Arabidopsis thaliana: one gene and its partners. The protein of the gene in region 2 interacts with the protein of the main gene of each other region in a pairwise test. Each region holds a gene or a part of one and is shown on either strand. Other genes may lie near its edges. The genes, in order: GOS11, AT4G23030 and ABCB29.

Region 1 (3,757 bases), on a different chromosome or scaffold from region 2:
ATGGATGGAGACTGTTAAATCTTATGTTGAGCAAAAATAAAATCTTCTGCCGACCACATTCTTAAGCAGCCAATGAATGTTCCCTTGGATATATGATTATATGGCTTAGATGGACTTTTATTGGCATGGTTCTTAGTTTCCAGAGGTAATGTGACATTTAAATCTAATATGGATTAGTTGCGAGCATATATATGATAATGATTATATTAAAGCCGTATTGCATGTAGGCGCCATGTACCCTTTTCAATGCAGCAACATACTCCCACAAATAAAAAGTTACAAGATGAGAGAAACAGATGGTTGTACTGTATGTGTGGCATCTCCAAAATAACTCAACATTTAACAAGCTCGTCTAGACTGCAAAGACAGGGATGAAATTTTCTGTACACAATATTTATGTTTTTGATCTTTAGATTCTTTACTAGAACACCGATAATTGCAGAACAAATTGACATCATGGGAAAACCAGACGTGGCCCAACATAAAGATGAAACGAAAGAAATGGGCAAATTCTACTTGGTTATCCAGTAAATGAATATGAGAAATGTGCATACAGCCGCAACGAGTGAAAGAATGATTGTATCCATCGACTTTTTCCTCTTTATCGCTGCCAGAATAGTGTTCACCTGCAGTGGTTTTAACCATCCAATTGCAGGGTGAGATATAGGATAAACACAGGCCATAACCGAACATAAAGAAAGCAACGAGCAAAAGAGTGTGTAAATAAGACTAGGAAAGCTCTTCGTACCGTAGGTAGACGGCTGGCGACATTGCTAAGCTTTGAGTTGATGCCTCCAAAAGTTGAACGTTGAAACACAAGCGTACCGAGTGTTGCCTGAGCTTGTGAAATGACACCGTCCATCTGCACCGTTTATATAATAGTCAGCTCACATAAGTCATGACGTGTTCGATTAACTTGAGAAAGCCAGGCCTATTGTACGCTACAGCTGTAGAGTCTAACAAAGGTTAATCGCAAAGGAGAGTTTATATACCTGAGCTGTATTGCGGTTGATTCCCATATGTTCCTTGATCAGGGCTTGTTCAGACCCATATCCATCTTCTAAATCTAATCTAGTCCGATCAAATTCTCTAAAGTCCTCAAGAAGTGAAGCATGCTCTTGTTTTGCTCTAAGACTGGAGCGGTGTCGATAAAACTCCTGCATTTTGAATGAGTCATACATACAGGAACAAGACTGATTTACAACGAAGGTTGAGTCATAAACTAGTCCAAGAGCAGAGTGTGAACAGATGGTTAAAAAGATAACACTCATTTCATTACTAATCAGTATATAATCAACACAAGCTATAGAATAAGGCAAATATTCAAATGGTATGAGTCAGGAAAGGAACAGTACCTGTGTCAGATCTTGAAGGATCTCTTGATGTCGAGTTAAAGTATGGGAGACCATTTCTGACCCACCAGAAGATACCCATGCTTGCATCTGAGCATTAACTTGTTGCAGTTGCCTAAGAAGTAAGTCAATCCCAGCTTCAAGATCACTCTCATTACCATCTGATTTTGATAAAGCCTTTGTGGAAACAAGTCTACGATATGAATGCATCTGCTCGTCAAGCTGAGCTTCAATCTTTCTAGCCTGTGGGATTCAATACAACACAAAGCTTATTCAAATATCAATTGGATCCAGTAAAAAGATAAATCATTGAGAATTAGCCAACAAAACCAATAAATTCCCCAATTCGAATCGAACCCAGAAGATTGATATCAATTCAGACCTCAAATATTCGAAATTCAAGACAGATTTTCAGACACTACCAGCTTCCCCAACACAATTACCTAGTAGCTTCGAATCAAACGACACAATAATTTTATAAAAAGAAAAATACCTGTTTCCGTAAAGCATCCCAAGAGCTAGGCACATCCATGGCGTCTACTGAATCTGTCAAAATCTCTCCTTTATGAAAGCGGATCGTGTCCTTTCCGGCAAGAGACCTTTTTCCGATATAAATCAGATGCGACAATCTTCTTCCTCGTCCTCGTCACCAAAGGTTTGAGCCCCTAAAAGATGCGATCCAATTGGTTCGAAATTGAGACAAGTAGTGAACGGAACGGATCGGATTGAGAGAAGGATAGAGTTGGTTCGGAGACGCAGACAGAATTTCTGCGTACCCCTTCAACGGAAAATTGCTTTTCAGTTTTGCGTAATCACAAATTAATTAATTCGATGACCTGAGATTCGGCGGGTATAATCCAGTGTTTTCCACCCTACAGTAAGTTTATATATAAGTTGACCTACACATTTAGTCAAACTTGCAAGCGATACGTGGATAATAGTAAACCTTAACATAAACGACATCGTTCTCCAGTAAAAATAGACCCGGCTCGATGGCTCGAGTCCTAGAAGCTTACCGGGTTCTCTCATCAAACTGCTCCATTCGGATATACTTCCACTCTCAAGTCTCACTCCCTCACAATCAATTCAAGCGATTGCCGCCCGTCGTCGCTTTCAAATTTGTTCTTCCGCCGGTAACTAATTCTCTTTCGCTTTGACTACGCTTTTGCTTCACTGCTTCGATCTCGTTCGGTTTCCTTCTGTTTGCTTCTTCAGAAATTCCTCGAATTGCTTTTGATCAATCTCAACTCAATCTGTGGATTACTATTTCATCGTGTTTTCACTTGTTGGTGCTCGGGAAAATTATGCAATTTTTCGAGTTGTTAATGGCTTTAGTTCTTCGTGTTTGCTCTTTAATGAATTACGAACTTTTTCCAAAGAGAAATAAGGTCTATTTTTTTTGGTGAAAGTAGGAGATTTTTTATGGCGGAGGGACAATTGACGAACATATCGGAGATGATACTGAAGAAGAGGAAGAAAGGGATGAGCTTGAATTGAGTAATTACGGCAACAATTACAGTAGCAGAGTGTTACATTAGTTGAAAGTTGAAAGATAGTTGTGCTCTTCATATTTTTTTATGGTCAATATCATTTTGTGGATAGAAAACTTTATCTTATAGTTTCTTAATGTTTGATGGTCAATGTCATTTTGTGGATATCTGAACACGCATCTTGACTTTTCGTTGAAGCTGCCACTTTCAATAAGATATTAGAACTTGCAGTCTGACTTTTAAATTTTCTAATCAATATCAGGAGGGCACGATTGTACTCTTTTTCCTCTTCTCCATTCAGTGCTCCTTATCTTGTGTTGTTTCCTGCATCGTCTTGATATTTGAAAGTTTGAGTAAGATGGGAAACTGTGTAGCACTAGAAATATCTTGTGATCAAACGTTGAATCATGCTTGTGGCTGCTTATTTGGTGATCGGAATTACATTCTCAAGATGGAGGCTAATCTCGAGGCTCTGCAGAATACTATGCAAGAGCTCGAGGAGAGAAGAGATGATCTGTTAAGAAGAGTTGTCATAGAAGAAGACAAAGGTTTGCAACGGCTTGCTCAAGTTCAAGGTTGGCTTTCAAGGGTTAAAGATGTTTGTTCTCAAGTCAATGATCTGCTGAAAGCTAAATCAATTCAAACTGAAAGGTTATGTCTCTGTGGATATTGTTCTAAGAATTTCATATCTGGCCGCAATTACGGAATAAATGTACTGAAAAAGTTGAAACACGTGGAAGGACTTCTAGCTAAAGGAGTTTTTGAAGTGGTGGCAGAGAAAATTCCTGCGCCTAAGGTGGAGAAGAAGCATATCCAAACCACAGTTGGGTTGGATGCAATGGTCGGAAGGGCATGGAACAGCCTCATGAAAGATGAACGAAGAACTTTGGGTCTTTATGGTATGGGGGGAGTAGG
Region 2 (3,757 bases):
TTAGTTAAAGTTACATGCATGAGAATGAATAAATTAGACTATTAGGATTCCTCCTATTACTTAGGATCTTTATGGGGTTGATTCATTCTATGCCAAGGATATTATAGATTTTTGAACATTTTTGACTATATGACATCTTTTGTCTCACAAGATATTGTTGTTTAATTACTTTGATCATATGAAGATATTGTTTCTAGAATGCATATGGATGAACAACCATTAAGTATATGCGGTAATACTGATTATAGGAAAATACGTTATAGACAGTGTGATGAGAATTAGGAACACAATTGTGTTAATGAAAAAAATTTGTTAATTTTAACCAAAACACTATTAGATTCCTCGATAACCTTGCCCTTTTTCCTTGTCAAGATTACCTTAACCTAATTTTAAGTCGACGTAAATTAATTTTCACATAATTTGTTAATGATATTTGATATTCAAGATACAATGAAAAAATACTCTGAAATTTCACATAAATAAAACATAATCAAAACATAATAAACACTTGACAACAATTTTAGTCCAAAAGGAAATCAATTCTCTTTCGTTCATATACAAAGTAACAGTAAGTTGTAACTTAGAAAATTGATCGAAAATTTGACTTGGAAACCCTAATCATTTCTAAAAATATAAATATAAAATCTCTGAAATACGTAAATTATAATTTTTTTATCATGTTATTTATATTTGTTTGTTACTTCTATATTTACATTTGTATTTATTTTTATTTCATATAGTTTATATATATATATTTTTTTCTATTTACAGTTGTTAATTTTTTTTTTTGTTATAATATAATAAACGATCGACATAGCTCGTGATAAGATAATGTTATTTTTGTTCCCCATCATCCTTAAGCTATATTAATGGTCCACATTCTATAGAGGTGAAGCATGTGACATCGTATTATATCTATGCACAAACAATAAATTCTTATCCCAAAATTAATAAACACTAATAAAAAATATTCTCTTTAAACTAATTATTATTTTCTGTTAAGTTCTCTTGAAACTAATTATGAAAGCAAGCCTTTTTTTTTGCCAAACTATAATTTTCCCCTCGATTATATGATCAATAGAGTGGTCCAATAAATTGTTTTGAAGTTTAGAAATAAGCATTAAGTAGGTATAATATTCTATATAATTCTTCTCACTTTATTGCAAGCATCAACATCGTCCCAAGTTTTATATAAAATGGTCCATAAAATTTTAAATCTTAGTATTTCGTAACAACTTGATACCAACCTCTCTGTATAGCTGCTTAATTTTCTGGTATATGATCTGTGTCCATCCCTACTAGCTTACTACTTTACTACTACTTCGAGCAGTTACTTATTTGATTTTGTAAAGAATCCATTTCGTTTTTTTTTTTTGGCACATGAAAATTACCCATAATGGTCAAATTCAATACTATTAAAAGTGAGGAAGAAACGACATGAGTCAATTTGTTACACTGGTTTATTATTTAAAGAATAGAAATCCCAAAAACGTCTCAAGTTTCAACTCTTTCTATGCTGAGTTGTATTGTATGTATGTATCTAAGTATCTAACTATAAATTAAACGAAATACAGACAATAAATTAATCGTGAATAAAAAAAATTCTTAATAAACATCCAAATATCAATATTTTCTTGGAAACTTATCTCCAAATGGAAACAAAAATCCTAATAAACGTAACCATGATTAAAAGAAAAGAGTTGCATAAACATCCAAAGAAAAACAATACTATTATATATATAAAAAATCCAAATCAACATGAAGAAAGTAAAATGATTCCAAATAGACATCCAAAAATCATATTTTCTTTAAACTTTTTTTATTGGTTTTCCACAAATGAAAATAGAATAAAATAGTGTCTCTGAATTAAGACGGAGTCGTAACAAATGACATAATGGCCGGTCAAATAAACCGCCAAAATTGTTCTGTTATAATTAAGACTAATTTCTGAGTCAAAAAACTTCTCTTGTTCCCTTAAGGGCCTTAATCACTATTAACCTTAACTAGTGACTTAATCTCAAACTTATAACACACCTTTCACACATCAACAACACCTTCTTCATCATCTCCTTTCTCTGTCTCTGTCTCTCTCTTCTCTCTCAAACCTGTAATCATGGCAGCTCCTTTGTTGATGATCATCAAGAACCAAACAGATCACCGACAAGATCCGAATCCGAACCCGACCCACCTTTCCTCTTCGATCCAAGAAGCCAAATCAATCGCCAAAATATCTCTCCCACTGATCTTAACCGGTTTACTTCTCTACTCTCGCTCAATGATCTCAATGCTCTTCCTCGGCCGTCTCAACGATCTCTCTGCTCTTTCCGGTGGCTCACTCGCCCTCGGCTTCGCTAACATCACGGGTTACTCTCTCCTCTCCGGTCTCTCTATCGGCATGGAACCCATCTGCGTTCAAGCCTTTGGCGCCAAAAGATTCAAACTTTTAGGCCTTGCTTTGCAAAGAACCACACTTTTGCTTCTCCTCTGTTCTCTTCCCATATCTATCCTCTGGCTCAACATCAAGAAGATCCTTCTCTTCTTCGGACAAGACGAAGAAATCTCAAACCAAGCTGAGATCTTTATCCTCTTCTCTCTCCCTGATCTGATCCTCCAATCTTTTTTACATCCTATCCGTATCTACCTCCGATCTCAATCGATCACTCTTCCTCTAACCTACTCTGCTTTCTTCGCAGTATTACTCCACATTCCGATTAACTACCTTCTCGTTTCTTCTCTCGGTCTCGGCCTTAAAGGAGTCGCCTTGGGAGCAATCTGGACTAATGTCAATCTCCTAGGGTTTCTAATCATCTACATAGTGTTTTCCGGTGTTTACCAGAAGACTTGGGGAGGATTCTCAATGGATTGCTTTAAAGGATGGAGATCTCTAATGAAACTAGCCATCCCTAGCTGCGTCTCGGTTTGTTTAGAGTGGTGGTGGTATGAAATCATGATTCTTCTATGTGGATTGTTACTTAACCCGCAAGCAACCGTGGCATCTATGGGAATCTTGATCCAAACCACCGCTTTGATCTACATTTTCCCTTCCTCTCTGAGTATCAGCGTATCGACACGTGTCGGGAATGAATTAGGTGCGAATCAGCCTGATAAAGCGAGGATAGCTGCGAGAACCGGACTTAGTTTAAGCCTTGGTTTAGGTTTATTGGCAATGTTTTTCGCTTTGATGGTGAGGAATTGCTGGGCAAGATTGTTCACAGATGAGGAAGAGATTGTGAAGTTGACTTCAATGGTTTTACCGATCATCGGGCTTTGCGAGCTAGGAAACTGTCCTCAGACCACATTGTGTGGAGTGTTGAGAGGAAGTGCGAGACCTAAGTTAGGAGCAAACATAAACTTGTGTTGTTTCTACTTTGTGGGAATGCCAGTGGCTGTATGGTTAAGTTTCTTTAGCGGGTTTGACTTCAAAGGACTATGGCTCGGTCTATTTGCAGCACAAGGCTCGTGCCTGATTTCGATGCTGGTCGTGTTGGCTAGGACTGATTGGGAAGTTGAGGTTCATAGAGCAAAAGAACTCATGACTAGATCATGTGATGGTGATGAAGATGATGGTAATACACCGTTTTTATTGGATTCTTTGGATATAGAAGAAAATCTTGTCTTCTAGTTTTGATTTATTGGCACTAACGAGATTCGTTTCATTGTACACTCTTCTAATTCATTATTCTAGGAGGAAACATTTGATTGTTGGATTTTCAAATTTATGTTGTGAGATATATATTGGATTTTTTTTAAAATGTAA
Region 3 (3,757 bases), on a different chromosome or scaffold from region 2:
TCATAGGTTTAAATATAAATTTAATTAATAATATGCAATTATGCATGGCACGGGGAACCACTAAGACTATTGTCATGATATTAATATGCTGTTAAAGGGCTTTAACGGGCTTCGGGGTTTAAAAGGCCTCAGATCTTAGCAACCGCTTAAATTCTCGGTTTAGTTTCGGTTAAGACGAATTATCATCAAATTAGAATTAGAAGTTGATATTCCTTTTGGTTCGATTCAATTTGTTTTGGAGAGAAATGTCATTTCTCCTCCGCTTAACACCGCCGCCGTTATCTCACCGCCGGAGCTCATCTCTCTTTCTCAAACATCCATTTCAACAATCTCCGAGACCTCTGAGCTCCGGTAAACCCTCGAAAATAGGGGATAAAAAAAAAATAGGGGATTGGTTTCTTGTTCATCAAGCATCAACGCCTTTGCAGTAAATTTTTTGGTGCAAAACAAAGCTCTTGATTATTTAGGTAGAAACGCTTACATATTTTTAAATTTCACAGACTTTGTATATACATAATAATTAGTTTTTAGAGGGGAAAAAACATTGAAGATATCTAAGAGTATCTTCAGGGGAAAAATATCTCTGGTCGCTTTCAATGAATATCTCAAGGCTGATCTTGTCAAGTAAGTCGCCGTTTAAACTCACCTTGACATCGCCGGTTAGGCCACGTCTGATTAGATCTTCTGGAGCAAGAAGATCGTTGAACAACCATCGTAAGTTTGTGTCTAATGACCTTCGACCTTTAACGATTGTGACAATGTTTTGCCAATCTTTCTTATAAACGACTTCCCAAGTGATCATTACATCATCCATACCAGACTTGGGCAGTTCAAAACGACTCAAGTCTACGATTTCTATTTTGAACCGGTCATTAGGGTTAAACTCGCGGTCCGCGCCAAATTCTACAACTGTTAACTTCTTTGATTTGGTTGTGTACACGCCTATGACAAAGGTGAGATCCGACATGGAGATTTTGGGTTTGGGAAGTTCCTTAGCTCCCGAGTGTTCTCCTTCTTCGGCCATGACCACCGGGGACTTCTCCATCTACTTTTAACCTCTCTTTGTTTTGGAATGAATTTTGTGTTTATATATTCACCCTCCATAATTTATATATAGTGGTACAAATCCTCAATGAATTAGGAATACTGGAACTAAAATTGATTACAATTAAATATCTAATATAGAGTTTTAATTTTCGTCATATATTCTAATAATATAGAGTATTTTTTTGAATAATTTACAAAATATATGGAAATTTGTAGATTTATACTAGCTAGGTGTATTATGGGCCATTCTGCAGCATTTCATGGTTATGAGTCCAACATTTCATACTAGGTGGATTAGATATTAAAATAATGAATTAATTTAATTACTATAATAAATTAATAATTTTCAGATTTTATTATTTTTAGAGATTTTTTATGATTTAATTTAGTATTGATTTTTTCTTATTAAATATTAGTTAGATAAGGGTGTTAAATATTTTGACAAATGTTAACACATATTTTTATCTAATTAGATTTATTCTCTGAGTTATTTCAAACTAAATTAAAATTCTCTCACAAAACAAAATACATATGTTATTAACTGATTGTAAACTTTCATTTGTGTCAACAAACTACTTTTACAGTTTTGAAACAACTTCTTATTCATGACATTTGCTCTATAATTATACTAGGTGGTGGACCTCTCCCACCATGTTACGAACCTAAATCTAAAATACATATATCAATATGTTACAATTTCAACTAAAGTTAATCGAAACGTTTTAAATTGCAAACAAAATTAACTGAAATTTAGTTTAAATGTTTTTCTACCAAAAACTATAAATCTCTTGAAATATTCAATATAGTGTGTATAATGAGTTTTAAAATTTATTTAATAGTTGTAAAGTAAAACTATTTGGGGTTAAATATCAACCTCTTACTTGATAAGATCAGGTTGGGCCTCGGGTATTAAACTCATAAAGGCCTCAGATCTTACTTCTTAGCAATCGCTTAAATGTTCGGGTTTAGGTTCGGTTCAGAAGAATTATCACCGAATTAGAATTAGAAGTTGATTCGTTTTGGTTCGATTAAATTTGTTTTGGAGAGAAATGTCATTTCTCCTCCTAACACCGCCGCCGTGTCTTCTCATTCCTCCGCCGCCGCTATCTCATCGCCGGAGCTCATCTCTCTTTCTCAAACATCCATTTCAACCATCTCCGAGACCTTTGAGCTTCTGTAAACCCTCCGCTCTCCGTCTCCGAGCCAATACAACAGTCAATTCACTAAAAGCCCTCGAAACTATTAAACCCTATCTTCAATCGGAATCTAAAACCGTCCTACTTGGCTGGCTCTGCAGCTGTGTCTCTGTTGTCTCGCTTTCTCAGATTGTTCCTAGGCTCGGCTCCTTCACTTCCAACCTTAACGCAAACGCCGCGAGCTTGACGAAGCTCAAAGGCGAATGTCTCGTTTTGGCGGGTCTGGTTTTGGCTAAGGTTGTTGCTTATTATCTGCAGCAAGCGTTTCTTTGGGAAGCTGCTTTGAATACTGTTTACAAGATTCGGGTTTTCGCGTATAGGAGGGTTTTAGAGAGAGAACTAGAGTTCTTTGAAGGTGGCAATGGGATTTCATCAGGAGACATTGCTTACAGGATCACTGCTGAAGCTTCTGAAGTTGCTGACACTATCTATGCTCTTCTCAACGTGAGTGTTTTGCTTGTTATGAATGTTTTGCGAAGAGAAAGTTTCCTTCTTTTCAGAATTTTTTGATACATTGTGGTGATTTTGGCTAACAACTATAAGCTCTACACTTCATTTATATGGCAGACAGTTGTGCCCAGTGCTATTCAGATATCTGTAATGACGGCACATATGATTGTTGCAAGTCCTGCCTTGACACTAGTCTCTGCAATGGTAAGTGAATCAATTGTCTCTGTTTGTGTCTCTTTTGCTCTAGAGTTTTCTTATTAGTTTGGGTATTGTTCTAGGTGATACCATCTGTTGCGCTTCTTATAGCATATCTTGGTGACCGGCTTCGTAAGATATCTAGAAAAGCACAGATTGCCTCTGCTCAACTTTCTACCTACTTGAATGAGGTATTAGTCTTTCCTACAATTGGTGTTTTTCTTCTTCTTGTTAATTTACGGGAAAATTACTAAAGCAGAGCTTTTTATGTTTAGGTTCTTCCTGCAATTTTGTTTGTCAAGGCTAATAACGCAGAGATCTCTGAGAGTGTGAGGTTTCAGAGGTTTGCTCGTGCTGACCTAGATGAACGGTTTAAGAAGAAGAAAATGAAGTCACTTATCCCTCAGATTGTTCAAGTTATGTATCTCGGATCATTGTCGATATTTTGTGTTGGAGCTGTTATCCTTGCAGGCTCTTCTTTAAGCTCTAGTGCAATTGTTTCCTTCGTGGCATCATTAGCTTTCTTGATCGATCCTGTCCAGGTAGATACTTGTGTCAGTGTGGCATTCCATGCCTTGCCTCTATACTTTTTTGTGTATAGAGGAGCTGTCTTATTGGGATTTTGAATCTAAAAAACATGCAGGATTTGGGAAAAGCTTATAATGAATTGAAACAAGGAGAGCCAGCGATAGAACGTTTGTTTGATTTGACCTCTTTGGAATCTAAGGTACTACACCCTATCTTTCCTCTGATCTTCTCTTCAGTTTATACTCCTAATGATTTGGTTTTGTTCGTTGTCTATCTCAAAATATGATGCAAAGTGCTTCTGGCCCTGTCTTGAAAATTAGGTGATCGAGAGACCTGAGGCC

What was found.
Region 1: the proteins of AT4G23030 (region 2) and GOS11 interact in a protein complementation assay, tested with the Arabidopsis thaliana proteins (one large-scale study listed by BioGRID).
Region 3: the proteins of AT4G23030 (region 2) and ABCB29 interact in a protein complementation assay, tested with the Arabidopsis thaliana proteins (one large-scale study listed by BioGRID).

What each region holds. Positions count from the first base shown.
Region 1 is NC_003070.9:5,458,206-5,461,962, forward strand, and holds GOS11 (golgi snare 11), read right to left. Parts: upstream 2,155-3,757; 5' UTR 1,885-2,154; coding exon 1,846-1,884; intron 1,596-1,845; coding exon 1,356-1,595; intron 1,158-1,355; coding exon 993-1,157; intron 863-992; coding exon 749-862; intron 627-748; coding exon 513-626; 3' UTR 193-512; downstream 1-192. Other genes in the region: AT1G15870 (Mitochondrial glycoprotein family protein), read left to right, coding at 1-40; AT1G15885 (uncharacterized protein), read left to right, coding at 2,345-2,485, 2,765-2,890; AT1G15890 (Disease resistance protein (CC-NBS-LRR class) family), read left to right, coding at 3,201-3,757. UniProt on the Arabidopsis thaliana protein: Involved in transport from the ER to the Golgi apparatus as well as in intra-Golgi transport. It belongs to a super-family of proteins called t-SNAREs or soluble NSF (N-ethylmaleimide-sensitive factor) attachment protein receptor.
Region 2 is NC_003075.7:12,070,744-12,074,500, forward strand, and holds the start of AT4G23030 (MATE efflux family protein), read left to right. Parts: upstream 1-2,016; 5' UTR 2,017-2,113; coding exon 2,114-3,622; 3' UTR 3,623-3,757.
Region 3 is NC_003076.8:1,055,445-1,059,201, reverse strand, and holds the start of ABCB29 (ABC2 homolog 12), read left to right. Parts: upstream 1-2,029; 5' UTR 2,030-2,096; coding exon 2,097-2,687; intron 2,688-2,810; coding exon 2,811-2,897; intron 2,898-2,971; coding exon 2,972-3,079; intron 3,080-3,163; coding exon 3,164-3,430; intron 3,431-3,531; coding exon 3,532-3,615; intron 3,616-3,736; coding exon 3,737-3,757. Other genes in the region: AT5G03920 (F-box protein), read right to left, coding at 521-1,045.